Struthio camelus: one gene and its partner. The protein of the gene in region 1 purifies or fractionates together with the protein of each later gene. This does not show direct contact. Links are inferred from orthologs where the notes say so. Each region holds a gene or a part of one and is shown on either strand. Other genes may lie near its edges.

Region 1 (7,518 bases):
AACTGATTGAGAAGAGCAGGGTTAAGGTCTAGCAAAACAACAAGAATTCCTACAAGTATACCTCAAAGTTCTCAAAAGATTCCATCAACTACTTAGCTCTTGATTTACTCTCAACTTGACCTCCTCTAGTTTTCCTGCACCATTTATATCCAAGTTTCCCAGTTATTCTTGTCATTCTACTATTGTTTCAGAAGTGTTTACTATAACAAGATACTCTTCTATTTCTTGGCATTCCAGTTCACCCATTTTTTATGGCTGCCCTTATTACACTGTTCTAGTTACTGCCCTTCAGGCACTAACACTTTAGTCTCCAAGCCGCAGTGTTAAAAAAACGTACTACTTGATTGTGTGTGTGTGAAGCTATTTTCCCTAACATATAATCAGCAGTTTCTACCCTCACAGGTCTACAAATCTTATTAGCAGAGACAGAAAAGAAGAAAGCTCATCTTCCCTACCTCCTCCCCTGCCCAACTCTGTTCAGATGCATTACCTTTCTTCACTGAAGTTTGGTACTACTAATCCCCTACTGCATTGGGGGGGGGAGGGGGGGGCGGGCAGGGGAGGAAACAGTTTTGGTTTCTCTTTTGACACTTTAGCTGATGGCCAATAAAACTCAGGGGAAAATATGGAAGGAAGTGCTCCTTCCATGGAGGATGGAAAAATATGGCCAGTTAGCCTGGGATGTCTCCTTACGGAGGAAGGAGAGAAACACAGCTAAGTGATTCCTTCTTCTAGCTCAGGACTGTACTAACTGGGGATAGCAAGAATTTAATTCATTCCAGCTGACTCCCCATATGACCAATGAAGTATGAGTCACAAGTGGCAGGGGGAAACACAGACAGAAGGGCTGTCTATCCTTAACAGCTCTCCTGGTACCCCTTTTCAAAAGGCAACTTGCAAGGGTTTTTGAGCTTTCCTCCCAAGGCAGCACTGCATCTAACAGCCTATGCCACTAGTGACAACAGCCTGTAGTTTTCTAAAAATAATTTAGGCCCACAGAACAAGCAAGCTTGAATACCGTTAGAATAAAAACACTGTAAATTTTTAATCATAGTTTTCTCTTTATTATTCACTTTGATTCAATATCCTCCCATTTCTCAACCATGAACTTACAAATTCAACCTGTCCCTTCCACAAACAACTATAAATTCATCAAACATTGGGTAAAGAACGAAGACGCTTCAGTGCTCCCTCCCATCCCCTAAACAAGCGGTCGACATCAGTCACTTTTTCAAAGTTTCAAATCTGTAGGAATCTCGCAAAACCTCAGCACTTGTTTTCTGTACCACACCTCTGATACCATTCTGCTGCAGACTGAGCTTTTCCCAAAAGGCTTCTGCAGTGCCTCCAAATTCCCACAGTTCCTAGATCAGACACTGTCCTAGGTCCCAGAATTTGCAACTTAAGACAAAGAAAGTATAAAAGTCACCAGAAGTATATGCACGTCAAATACATGAAAACAAAGTAAGTTCTCAATTTCAAGCAATTTTTTCATGTCCAATCTTCACTCACCTTCTCCTGAGCAAGTCTTTACTGGGACCACTTAAGCTAGTACAGATCATGATCTGTTCCTATTGCATATTCCAAAATTTAACTTTCCTTACCATGCTATCACCCTCAGTTGCTATGGAAATTGTTATACTATCAGCTGTTGGATTTTTTTTTTAAACCACCAAAAGTAACTAGTTTGCCAAAATATTTTTAAGTGACAGAGTAATAGCAGAAGTCATAAATGTTTACTCCCTTGTCATTCTTAAAGCAGTGTTCTATCAAAAAAAGTCTGCTAGCTAGTGATTACATGCTTGGCTTCAAACACATGTGTAGCTCATAACAGGACTGAGTCTAAAAATTACAACTCTGTTCTATGTTTTTGATGGGGAAAATAAACTACACTATGGAAACAAGCTTCAGTCTTAAAAATAAGTCTTAAGCAGGAGATCAAGATAGGAAAAATACCTCAAGTCCTTCCAAGTTCTCTCAATTTCTCTTTTTCACTTCCTAGTTTTTTGGGGTTTTTTGTTTTTTTCTAAAGCTAGCACAAAACAAGGCCTTCAAATTAGGAAAGAAACCTCCATTAAAGCGGCCAAGAAAAAGCCTTCCTGTAAGATCATGTGCCGCAGTAATTCGATCTGCGGCTACAGCTCCTACCACAGTTTCCGCGCGTTAATACCACCAGCCCAGGACCCTTATTTCCACCGACCGCCCGGGCCGGAGCCCGCGGGGCCCCTGGGCTCAGGTGCGCGGCGCCGCCGCCGCCCCGCGGGTGCTGCCAAGCGGCGGCCGCGCGCGGGCCGCGGAACGGGCGAAGCCGCTGCGCCCCCTCAGCCGACCGCACCCGCTCAGCGGCGAACTCCTGACGGGCCCCGCGCTCCGGGGGGGGGGGGGGGGGGGGGGCGACCTCGGGGGCCGTTCACCCCAGAGGCGGCACCAAGCGACGCCCGGGAACTTCGGCAGGGCGCGGGGAAGGGGCCAGCGCAGCGGCCGGCGAAGGCGGAATCAAGAAGAGGGGCCCGGGCGACCAGCACCGCCCGGACCAAAAACAAATAAATACAGTAAAAACGCGGAGCAGGCGCAGCCGGACACGGCCTCCAGCCCAGGCAGCGCTCCGGGGCCGGGCGGCTCCGCGGGGCCCGGGCCGGCGGCGGCGCTGACAGGGCGGCAGGCCGCGCACCGCCTCCGCGCCGGGCCCAGCGCCGCGCCGCGCCGCAGGAAGCAGGAAGCGGCCGGTGGAGCGGAGCAGGCCGCGCCGAGCGCCCCGGCTCCGGCCCCGGAGGGCCGCGGCGGCGCGGGCCGCGGCGGCGGTGACAGCTCGGCGGCGGCGCGGTCGGCGGGCCCGGCCGCGGGTCTCACCTGCTGGCCGTCCGGCCTGGCCGTCCCCGTGGCGGCGGGGCCGCCGCCGCCGTGCGCTGCCTGGGCTGCGAGAGCCGGCGGGCCGAGGGCATGGGCCGCGGGCGGAGCGCGGGGCGCCGCGGCCGGGCTGCGCTGCGCTGACAGCGGCGGCGAGGCGGCGGCGAGCTGGCGGGCGCTCCGGCTGCCTCCAAAATGGCGGCGGCGCTGCCTGCCTACCCGAGGGCGGGGCGCGGCGGGGGGCGGGGCCGAGGGGGCACATGGGCGGGGGCGGGGCCTGGGCGGCGGGGCGGAGTCGGGGCGGGGGCGGCGCCAGCAGCCAGCCACGGGGACGGGGCAAGGCGGGACAGGTCACAGCCCCGGGGAGGGGGACAGGGCTTGGTGGGACATGTCACAGCCCTGGGGATGGTAGGACAGGGCTTGGTGGGACATGTCACAGCCCTGGGGATGGTGGGACAGGTCACAGCCCCGGGACGGGGACAGGGCTTGGTGGGACATGTCACAGCCCTGGGGACGGCGGGACAGGTCACAGCCCCCGGGGACGGGGACAGGGCTTGGTGGGACATGTCACAGCCCTGGGGATGGTGAGACAGCTCACAGCCCCCGGGGACGGGGACAGGGCTTGGTGGGACATGTCACAGCCCTGGGGATGGTGAGACAGCTCACAGCCCCCGGGGACGGGGACAGGGCTTGGTGGGACATGTCACAGCCCTGGGGATGGTGGGACAGGTCACAGCCCCGGGGAGGGGGACAGGGCTTGGTGGGACATGTCACAGCCCTGGGGATGGTGGGACAGGGCACAGCCCCCGGGGACGGGGACAGGGCTTGGTGGGACATGTCACAGTCCTGGGGATGGCGGGACAGGTCACAGCCCCGGGGAGGGGGACAGGGCTTGGTGGGACATGTCACAGCCCTGGGGATGGTAGGATAGGGCACAGCCCCCGGGGACGGGGACAGGGCTTGGTGGGACATGTCACAGCCCTGGGGATGGAGGGACAGGTCACAGCCCCGGGGACGGGGACAGGGCTTGGTGGGACATGTCACAGCCCTGGGGATGGTAGGACAGGGCACAGCCCCGGGGACGGGGACAGGGCTTGGTGGGACATGTCACAGCCCTGGGGATGGTAGGACAGGTCACAGCCCCCGGGGACGGGGACAGGGCTTGGTGGGACATGTCACAGCCCTGGGGATGGTAGGACAGGTCACAGCCCCTGGGGACGGGGACAGGGCTTGGTGGGACATGTCACAGCCCTGGGGATGGTGGGACAGGTCACAGCCCCCGGGGACGGGGACAGGGCTTGGTGGGACATGTCACAGCCCTGGGGATGGTGGGACAGGTCACAGCCCCCGGGGACGGGGACAGGGCTTGGTGGGACATGTCACAGCCCTGAGGATGGTAGGACAGGTCACAGCCCCCGGGGATGGGGACAGGGCTTGGTGGGACATGTCACAGCCCTGGGGATGGTAGGACAGGGCTTGGTGGGACATGTCACAGCCCTGGGGATGGTGGGACAGGTCACAGCCCCGGGGACGGGGACAGGGCTTGGTGGGACATGTCACAACCCTGGGGATGGTGGGACAGGTCACAGCCCCCGGGGACGGGGACAGGGCTTGGTGGGACATGTCACAGCCCTGGGGATGGTGGGACAGGTCACAGCCCCCGGGGACGGGGACAGGGCTTGGTGGGACATGTCACAGCCCTGGGGATGGTAGGACAGGTCACAGCCCCTGGGGACGGGGACAGGGCTTGGTGGGACATGTCACAGCCTGGGGATGGTGGGACAGGTCACAGCCCCCGGGGACGGGGACAGGGCTTGGTGGGACATGTCACAGCCCTGGGGATGGTGGGACAGGTCACAGCCCCGGGACGGGGACAGGGCTTGGTGGGACATGTCACAGCCCTGGGGATGGTAGGACAGGTCACAGCCCCGGGGAGGGGGACAGGGCTTGGTGGGACATGTCACAGCCCTGGGGATGGTGGGACAGGGCACAGCCCCCGGGGAGGGGGACAGGGCTTGGTGGGAAATGTCACAGCCCTGGGGATGGTGGGACAGGTCACAGCCCCCGGGGAGGGGGACAGGGCTTGGTGGGACATGTCACAGCCCTGAGGATGGTAGGACAGGTCACAGCCCCCGGGGATGGGGACAGGGCTTGGTGGGACATGTCACAGCCCTGGGGATGGTAGGACAGGGCTTGGTGGGACATGTCACAGCCCTGGGGATGGTGGGACAGGTCACAGCCCCGGGGACGGGGACAGGGCTTGGTGGGACATGTCACAGCCCTGGGGATGGTGGGACAGGTCACAGCCCCCAGGGACGGGGACAGGGCTTGGTGGGACATGTCACAGCCCTGGGGATGGTGGGACAGGTCACAGCCCCCGGGGACGGGGACAGGGCTTGGTGGGACATGTCACAGCCCTGGGGATGGTGGGACAGGTCACAGCCCCCGGGGAGGGGGACAGGGCTTGGTGGGACATGTCACAGCCCTGGGGATGGTGGGACAGGGCACAGCCCCGGGACGGGGACAGGGCTTGGTGGGACATGTCACAGCCCTGGGGATGGTGGGACAGGTCACAGCCCCTGGGGACGGGGACAGGGCTTGGTGGGACATGTCACAGCCCTGGGGATGGTGGGACAGGTCACAGCCCCCGGGGACGGGGACAGGGCTTGGTGGGACATGTCACAGCCCTGGGGATGGTGGGACAGGGCACAGCCCCGGGGACAGGGACAGGGCTTGGTGGGACATGTCACAGCCCTGGGGATGGTGGGACAGGTCACAGCCCCGGGGAGGGGGACAGGGCTTGGTGGGACATGTCACAGCCCTGGGGATGGTGGGACAGGTCACAGCCCCGGGGAGGGGGACAGGGCTTGGTGGGACATGTCACAGCCCTGGGGATGGTGGGACAGGGCACAGCCCCGGGGACGGGGACAGGGCTTGGTGGGACATGTCACAGCCCTGGGGATGGTGGGACAGGTCACAGCCCCCGGGGACGGGGACAGGGCTTGGTGGGACATGTCACAGCCCTGAGGATGGTAGGACAGGTCACAGCCCCCGGGGATGGGGACAGGGCTTGGTGGGACATGTCACAGCCCTGGGGATGGTAGGACAGGGCTTGGTGGGACATGTCACAGCCCTGGGGATGGTGGGACAGGTCACAGCCCCCGGGGACGGGGACAGGGCTTGGTGGGACATGTCACAGCCCTGGGGATGGTGGGACAGGTCACAGCCCCCGGGGACGGGGACAGGGCTTGGTGGGACATGTCACAGCCCTGGGGATGGTAGGACAGGTCACAGCCCCTGGGGACGGGGACAGGGCTTGGTGGGACATGTCACAGCCTGGGGATGGTGGGACAGGTCACAGCCCCCGGGGACGGGGACAGGGCTTGGTGGGACATGTCACAGCCCTGGGGATGGTGGGACAGGTCACAGCCCCGGGACGGGGACAGGGCTTGGTGGGACATGTCACAGCCCTGGGGATGGTAGGACAGGTCACAGCCCCCGGGGACGGGGACAGGGCTTGGTGGGACATGTCACAGCCCTGGGGATGGTGGGACAGGGCACAGCCCCCGGGGAGGGGGACAGGGCTTGGTGGGAAATGTCACAGCCCTGGGGATGGTGGGACAGGGCACAGCCCCGGGGACGGGGACAGGGCTTGGTGGGACATGTCACAGCCCTGGGGATAGCGGGACAGGTCACAGCCCCGGGGAGGGGGACAGGGCTTGGTGGGACATGTCACAGCCCTGGGGATGGCGGGACAGGGCACAGCCCCGGGGAGGGGGACAGGGCTTGGTGGGACATGTCACAGCCCTGGGGATGGTAGGACAGGTCACAGCCCCGGGGACGGGGACAGGGCTTGGTGGGACATGTCACAGCCCTGGGGATGGTGGGACAGGTCACAGCCCCCGGGGACGGGGACAGGGCTTGGTGGGACATGTCACAGCCCTGGGGATGGTAGGATAGGGCACAGCCCCCGGGGACGGGGACAGGGCTTGGTGGGACATGTCACAGCCCTGGGGATGGTAGGACAGGGCTTGGTGGGACATCTCACAGCCCTGGGGATGGTGGGACAGGGCACAGCCCCCGGGGACGGGGACAGGGCTTGGTGGGACATGTCACAGCCCTGGGGATGGTGGGACAGGTCACAGCCCCCGGGGAGGGGGACAGGGCTTGGTGGGACATGTCACAGCCCTGGGGATGGTAGGACAGGGCACAGCCCCCGGGACGGGGACAGGGCTTGGTGGGACATGTCACAGCCCTGGGGATGGTAGGACAGGGCACAGCCCCCGAGGACGGGGACAGGGCTTGGTGGGACATGTCACAGCCCTGGGGATGGTGGGACAGGGCACAGCCCCGGGGACGGGGACAGGGCTTGGTGGGACATGTCACAGCCCTGGGGATGGTGGGACAGGTCACAGCCCCCGGGGAGGGGGACAGGGCTTGGTGGGACATGTCACAGCCCTGGGGATGGTAGGACAGGGCACAGCCCCCGGGACGGGGACAGGGCTTGGTGGGACATGTCACAGCCCTGGGGATGGTAGGACAGGGCACAGCCCCCGGGGACGGGGACAGGGCTTGGTGGGACATGTCACAGCCCTGGGGATGGTGGGACAGGGCACAGCCCCGGGGACGGGGACAGGGCTTGGTGGGACATGTCACAGCCCTGGGGATGGT
Region 2 (7,215 bases), on another chromosome or scaffold:
TTGGTGAAAAAAACATTAGCAAAGCTCTAGCCAAAGTCATAAAGTTAACCACTGCTGTGGCCTGCAGAACTGATGTCCTGAACAGACAGAGCCTCTCTGCTGTCTTTGCACCGGGGTAACATACCTTGTCCCAGAGCACGATGTGTGTGCTAGGCCAGGTAAGCATCGCTCGCAGCAGCATTAAGTTCAGGTGCCGCCCAACCTCTGAGCATCGCCTGAGCACCCAGTAGCCTGTTTCTTGTTTCACAGGCCTAGAAATTACATTTTAATGTTGCAAGATCTTCGGGGCAGAGACTGCGGCTGCTCTAAATCCCTTCAGTGCTCTGCACCCCACGATCACGGCCAAAACCCACGCCTCCTTGCCCAGGGCAAAGCAGCAGGCCAGCCTCCGCTCCTTGCACAGATCTGAACAGCGCGTTCGGGGGTGCTGCAAGCAAGACAGAGCCGCACCAGCCTCCAGCACCCGCTTCTCCAGCTCTGTTCGCGTAGCCAGTGCTGGATCTAATGGTCAAAACCAGCCAAAGCTTCTCATCTTGGCTTCTCAAAGGAACCACAGACCTTCATTTTCGAGGAAATCCCTTCCTGTCCCTGCTACCCAGCAATCCTCACACGCATCTTTCTCACCCCACCATCAAAGTAAAAGCAGTTAAATATGGGGAACACATCCCAGGTCAGAGGGAACGCGTGAGTCATTCCCATGGAATGCAGCAGACTCAGCATCACTCGTTAGACATTTAAAAAAAGGTTTTTCAAAAAAAAAAAAAATCGCAGACGATAATTATGCCCTGAGCAGTCTTCAGCGGAGCGCGGTTTGCAGCAGTGCTGGGTCTGACACACCCACCCACCATTCACAAGGAAAGCTAAATGTTTTGGTTACCCAAAAAAAAAAAAAAAGTTCTATTTAAATCACAGATCAATCCCTCTTCCTCACCCCTCCCCTTCTTCATCCACCACGTGAGGCTTTAAACATTCACTGTATTAATGATAGCACAGGAGTGAGGGACCAGAGGCAGGCGTAAATATTTGGTTTTGAGAGGCCAGCAGCCCAGATCGCTACTGGTGAGGGTGAATAAAGACAATTTATGTAAAACGGGCGGGGGGAAAAGGAGACTTCTGTGGGGAGCACGAAGTTAAGAAGATGCTGGGCATCATCCGTCTAGGGGATACAGCACAAAAATTAAGTCTAGGCAGCAGGGGGACGACAAACAGCCTAGCAGCGTTCATGCTGCAGGAGAGGGTCCTAGCCGGAGGGGAGGCAGCGCGAGGGCGCTCAGGATCGTGGGGTCCAACACGCGGGCCCCAAGGCGGGGAACAGCGCACGGGCCCCATGCCAATGGAAACATGCTCTGATGACACCCGCCACCCTAGCGGCGCCCCCAAAACCCGACGGGGATGCAGACAGGGCTGGGACAGAAAGCACGGCGATCCTTGGGGCAAGGGGGCCCTGGGGCTGGTGTCCCCAGAGGTCCTCCCTCCTTTGGGGCAGGGGGTGCCCAGGAAGGGGGTCCCATCCCCGGAGATATCCCGTTGCTCTTGGGATGGGGAGACCCTGGGGTGGGGGTCTGGGCCCTGTGGGGCAGGGGGGTCCCATCCCCATGGATATCCTGTTGCTCTTGGGATGGGGAGACCCTGGGGTGGGGATCCAGGCCCTGTGGGGCAGGGGTGCCCAGGAAGAAGGTCCCATCCCCAAAGATATCCCATTGCTCTTGGGATGGGGAGACCCTGGGGCAGGGGATCCAGGCCCTGTGGGGCAGGGGTGCCCAGGAAGGGGGTCCCATCCCCAAAGATATCCCATTGCTCTTGGGATGGGGAGACCCTGGGGCAGGGGTCTGGGCCCTGTGGGGCAGGGGTGCCCAGGCAGGGGGTCCCATCCCCAGGGATATCCTGTCGCTCTCAGGGGGCCCTGTGGGGCAGAGGGCTCCTGTCCCAGGGGTCCACTCCCCAGGGCAGCAGGGGGGCTCGGATCAGGGGATCCTGCCCCACTGGAGCTGGGGGACCCGTCTCTAGGGGTCCCCTCGGGGGGGTCCCATCCCAGTGGGGCCAGGGGGGGGGTCTGCATGGGTAGGGGAGGTCCCATCCCTGTGGGGCCCTGGGGGGGGTCCAGGTGGGGGGTCCCATCCTGGGGGTGGGGGGTCTGGGCAGGAGGTCCCCCCGGGGGGTCCCATCCTGGTAGGGCCGGGGGGGGGTCCCATCCTGGGGGCAGGTGGTCTGGGGGGGGTCCCATCCCGGTGGGGACTGGGGGGGGGGTCCATGCGGGGTGTCAGGGCGGGGGGGGGGTCCCATCCCGGTAGGGCCGGGGGGGGGTCCCGTCCTGGGGGCAGGTGGTCTGGGGGGGGTCCCATCCCGGTGGGGACTGGGGGGGGGGTCCATGCGGGGTGTCAGGGCAGGGGGGGTCCCATCCCGGTAGGGCCGGGGGGGTGGTCCGAGTGGGGGGGGGTCCCGTCCCGGCGGGGGCTGGGGGGGTGTCCGGGCTGGGGGGGGGGGGTCCCATCCCAGCAGGGCCCGGGGGGGGTCCCGTCCTGGGGGCGGGGGGTCCGGGTCCCGTCCTAGGGGGAGGGGAGGGGGTCCCGTCCCGGCGGGCAGACGGTGCCGTCCCGGGGGGGCGCCGCGCCCGGGGCCGCCGTACCCGCCGCACCGGGGGCCCCGCGCGGGCCGAGGCGCCCGAGGAGGCCGAGCCGGGGCCGGGGCCGGGCGGGCGGCGGAGCGCGGCGCGGGGGCCCGGGGGGCGGCGGGGGCAGGTGGGCGCGGGCGGCGGGGCCGGGGGCGGCGGGGCCGGGGGCGGCGGGGCCTGGGGCGGCGGCCGGGCCCGCGCGGGCTGCGGGGCGGCCCGCGCTAGGCCGCGCATCCCCGGGCTGGCGTGGCGGGGCGGCCGGGCGCGGGCGGGCGGCGGCGGCGGGCGCGGGCGGGCGGGCGGCGGCGGCGGCGCTACCTGGTCCGTGATGCTGAGAATCCCCATCTCGGGGCCGCCCTCAGCGCCCAGCTCCCGGCATCGGGCTCCGGCCGCGGCGGCTCCGGCTCGGGCGGCTGGCGGGGCGGGGAGCGGCTGGGCCCGCCCACCGCCGGGGGAGCGGCCGCCGCGCCGGGCCGGGCCGGGCCGGGCCGGGCGGCCCCGCGACGGGACCCGCGGAGGGTGCTGGGCCCGCCGAGTCCTGGGGACCGGGGTGCTGGGCCCGCCGAGTCCTGGGGACCGGGGTGCTGGGCCCTGCTGGACCCCTGGGGACCGGGGTGCTGGGCCCGCCGAGTCCTGGGGACCGGGGTGCTGGGCCCCTGGGGACCGGGGTGCTGGGCCCGCCGAGTCCTGGGGACCGGGGTGCTGGGCCCCTGGGGACCGGGGTGCTGGGCCCTGCTGGACCCCTGGGGACCGGGGTGCTGGGTCCCGCCGAGTCCTGGGGACCGGGGTGCTGGACCCCTGGGGACCGGGGTGCTGGGCCCTGCTGGGCCCCTGGGGACCGGGGTGCTGGGCCCGCCGAGTCCTGGGGACCGGGGTGCTGGACCCCTGGGGACCGGGGTGCTGGGCCCTGCTGGACCCCTGGGGACCGGGGTGCTGGGTCCCGCCGAGTCCTGGGGACCGGGGTGCTGGGCCCTGCTGGACCCCTGGGGACCGGGGTGCTGGACCCGCCGAGTCCTGGGGACCGGGGTGCTGGGCCCTGCTGGACCCCTGGGGACCGGGGTGCTGGGCCCGCCGAGTCCTGGGGACCAGGGTGCTGGGCCCTGCTGGACCCCTGGGGACCGGGGTGCTGGGCCCGCCGAGTCCTGGGGACTGGGGTGCTGGGCCCCTGGGGACCGGGGTGCTGGGCCCGCCGAGTCCTGGGGACCGGGGTGCTGGGCCCAGGGGCTGGGGGTGCTGGGCCCTGCTGGACCCCTGGGAATGGGGCACTGGGCCTCGAGGAATGGGGTGCTGGGCCTCAAGGAATGGGGTGCTGGGCCCTGCTGAACCCCTGGGAATGGGGGGGGCAGGTCCCAAGGAAAATCCAGGGGACAACGGCGCTCGGCCCCAGGACGACCCCTTGGCTGGGGGATGCCGGCCCCACGGGTGCCCCGGTGTAAGGCCCCACCGGGCCCCCTTCTCGGCCCCCGCCCAAAAAGAAACTAGGCAGTAAACTGCTGGCCGAGGAGCGAGGAGCCAGGCCTGCCTCTTCCCCTGGTCTGGCCGCTGCCTGCTGGCACGGTCGCTTCGGTGCTCCAGGGCCCGTTCCCGCGAGCGCGCCGTCCCGAGTACAGCGCTCCCGGCTGCGAGCTCGGCGGCCCTGCTTCGGGCAGCAGGCCTTTGCTTTGTGACCGTCTGGAAGCGAGGCCCGTTACCGAGATGGCCACGTTGTGCAGCAGCTAGCACGGCTGCTCCGTCGCCCGGGGGTATTAACCGCTGGAGATGCCTCCCCAGCGGGTGCAGATAGCGCTGCCGGGGGACCCCACGGCCTGCAAAGGGGCGCCGAGCCCCCTGCCGGCGCCCTGCCTGGAAGGATGCTGCAGGTGGCAGCAAGGTAGCTGAAGTTGGAGCCTGGCGCGCCGGGACCGGTGGTCTCTGCCGGCCAGCACCTGTTAGCAGCCAGGTCCCAGTAGCTGCTTCCCTGGCCCGCGTCCGTCCCCTGCTTGGAAATAACTTTAAACGGAGAAAACTTTGGTGCCTCGGCGTTTTCTGCAGGTACCGGGAATTTCTGGTTTGTTGCCTCCTCTGTCGCCCTGCCTGGAAAGGGAGGCGATACCTGGGGACAAAGCACGGAGTTGCTGCCCGCGCCTCTTGAAATAACATCCAGAGACGTAACTGGGTGGCCTGCCACGGGGGTGGCGGGGCCCGGTGGCTCGGTTGACCCCAGTTCGGAGGAGGAGGAGCTGGAGAGAGCGCTGCTGATACCGTTAGCGAGGCTATTTTTATCGTAGGGTGGTTTTTTTTTTTGTTTTTTTTGGACTGGCAATAATTAGCCCCGCGTTAGCTAAGAGTGAAATCAAGGTGAAACGACAGAGGCGGAAAGCTGCAACGAGCAGCTGCTGACGTTTTGCTGCGGGGAAACGCTAGCCCCGGAGGGGGAGCAGCCGAACTAATCGTTTTCTTGGAAAGGCAGGTGCGGCGGGGAGCGCGCGCCGGCCTGTCCCCCGCCGAGCCGGGCAAGGCTCGGTGCGACGGCCGTGAGGGGCCCGGAGCTGGCGCCGAGGGACCGGGGGGGGCCGGGGGGGCCCGGCTGCTTCCAGGCCCCGGTGGCAGTGATGGCGTCCCGGGACTACATCCCCCATCGTGCCCCGCGCCGGCGGGACTACAGCTCCCGCCGTGCCCCGCGCGGGAGGCCGTGCCCGCTGGCACCGCCCCCCTCCCCCTCCCGGCGCCGTGACGTCGGCGGGCTCTATGGCGACGCGGTGACGTCGCGGGCGGGGTGAGAGGTCACGGCGGCGGCGGCGGAGCCGGTGCGGGCGGGTGGCGGTGCCGCGTCCCGGCCCCCCCCCCCGTCCGGTCCGGTCCGGTCCGGTCCGGTCCGGTCATGGCGGCCAGGCGGCTCCGCGGCGCCCTGCAGCTCGGGACGCGGCAGCGGCTGCGGGCCGGGGCGGCCCCGCCCGGCAGGTGAGGACCGGGCCGGGCCCGGCGGCGCGGAGCGGGGCGGAGCGGGGCGGAGCGGGCGGCCCGCAGGTCACCCGCGGCCCCGGGGCAGGGACGGGCGGGCGGGGACGCGGACAGGGCCCTGGGTGCCCCCCGGCGGCGGACGGGGCTGGAGGGACACCCGGACGGGGCACCGGGGGGGCAGCGAGGTGTGCGAGACACGGGGACAGCCGGGGGGGCACCGGGGGGGTCTGGGGGCACCGGGGTGTGCGGGACACGGGGACAGCCGGGGGGGGCACCGGGGTGTGCAGGACACGGGGACACCCGGACGGGGCACCGGGGGGGCAGCGAGGTGTGCGGGACACGGGGACAGCCGGGGGGGCACCGGGGGGGTCTGGGGGCACCGGGGTGTGCGGGACACGGGGACAGCCGGGGGGACACCGGGGGGGTCACCGGGGTGTGCGGGACTTGGGGACACCGGGGGCGTCAGGGGGCACCGGGGGGGGGGCACCGGGGTGTGCGGGGACGGGGGGGCACCGGGGTGTGTGGGACATGGGGACACCGGGGGCGTCAGGGGGTACCGGGGGGTTCACCGGGGTGTGCGGGACACGGGGACAGCCGGGGGGGGGCACCGGGGTGTGCGGGACATGGGGACACTGGAGGGGGTCTGGGGGCACCGGGGTGTGTGGGACATGGAGGCACCGGGGGCGTCGGGGGGCACCGGGGTGTGCGGGACATGGGGGCACCGGGGTGTGCGGGACATGGGGACACCGGGGGGAGGGTCTGGGGGTACCGGGGGAGGGCAGCGGGGTGTGCAGGATGGGGGGACACCCGGACAGGGCACCGAGGGGGTCTGGGGGGGCACCGAGGGGGGGTCCAGCCCTCCGCCCCCTCCATCCGCTGCCCCTGACCGCAGGCAGGACGGGGCGCGCGGGAGGCTCCGGCCCTGGGGCCGACGGGTCCCGTGCCTTGGCCTTTCCTTCGGGAGCGGGGAGCGGGGCGGCGCGCGGGGAGGAAGCGACGGCGGCTGCGTCCCACGGTCGCTCCTAGATGCCGCGGTTTGCTTAGGCTTTGGCGAGCGCAGGCGACCTTGTGCCACCTCGCTCTGTCCCCGCCGAGCCTGGCGCCGGGCTGGGCGCGGGGAGCAGCTCCCGGTCCCGGCGCGCTCGCGTCGTCTTGTGCCAGATCGGAGCCAAAAGCCGCATCTGTGGCGGGGGAACAGGGGCAGCATCGCGCTGAGGGGGTGATTTAGGAGACGGCGCTGCTGGCGCGCGTGCGGCGCCTGGCGCTGCCCCTCGGAGCGAGGCGTTCCCGGCTTTCCTCGGAGGCCGAGACCCGCGGGGGCCGCTCAGCCGAGGGCCAGGGCCCTCCGCGACCTGGGCTCGCCCGGCTCTAAGCCAGGCCGGGCTCTGACCCGGCCCCCGGGTCGCTGGCTACTCTGGGCGCCTCTCCGCGAAGCAGGACCGTCCAGGAGCTCCTGGGACAAGCAGGCCCTTCTCCCCGAGCCACCAGTCCTGGGGGGAGAGCTGCTGTGACCTGTTTGCAGGCACATCTAAAAATACCCGCACTGTCCCAGCGGGCACCAGAGCGCTTCCAGTTATGGCTGTTGCAAAGCTTAAGCCGGTCGGGCCGCGTGGGTGCCACCCGGGCGCTGCACCCGGGGTCGGTCCTTCCTTAAAGCCCTTCCT

What was found.
Region 2: the proteins of PPP6R2 (region 1) and ANKRD52 purify together in Homo sapiens (affinity purification with mass spectrometry; 3 studies listed by BioGRID and IntAct, counting the BioPlex papers as one, with this or other methods). This does not show direct contact. The link is inferred for Struthio camelus from reciprocal best matches to the Homo sapiens genes PPP6R2 and ANKRD52.

The regions. Positions count from the first base shown.
Region 1 is NC_090942.1:1,008,262-1,015,779, forward strand, and holds the start of PPP6R2 (serine/threonine-protein phosphatase 6 regulatory subunit 2), read right to left. Parts: upstream 3,005-7,518; 5' UTR 2,851-3,004; intron 1-2,850. UniProt on the Homo sapiens protein: Regulatory subunit of protein phosphatase 6 (PP6). May function as a scaffolding PP6 subunit. Involved in the PP6-mediated dephosphorylation of NFKBIE opposing its degradation in response to TNF-alpha.
Region 2 is NC_090969.1:486,721-493,935, reverse strand, and holds the start of ANKRD52 (serine/threonine-protein phosphatase 6 regulatory ankyrin repeat subunit C), read right to left. Parts: upstream 3,014-7,215; 5' UTR 2,957-3,013; coding exon 2,930-2,956; intron 1-2,929. Other genes in the region: COQ10A (coenzyme Q-binding protein COQ10 homolog A, mitochondrial), read left to right, coding at 5,472-5,551. UniProt on the Homo sapiens protein: Putative regulatory subunit of protein phosphatase 6 (PP6) that may be involved in the recognition of phosphoprotein substrates.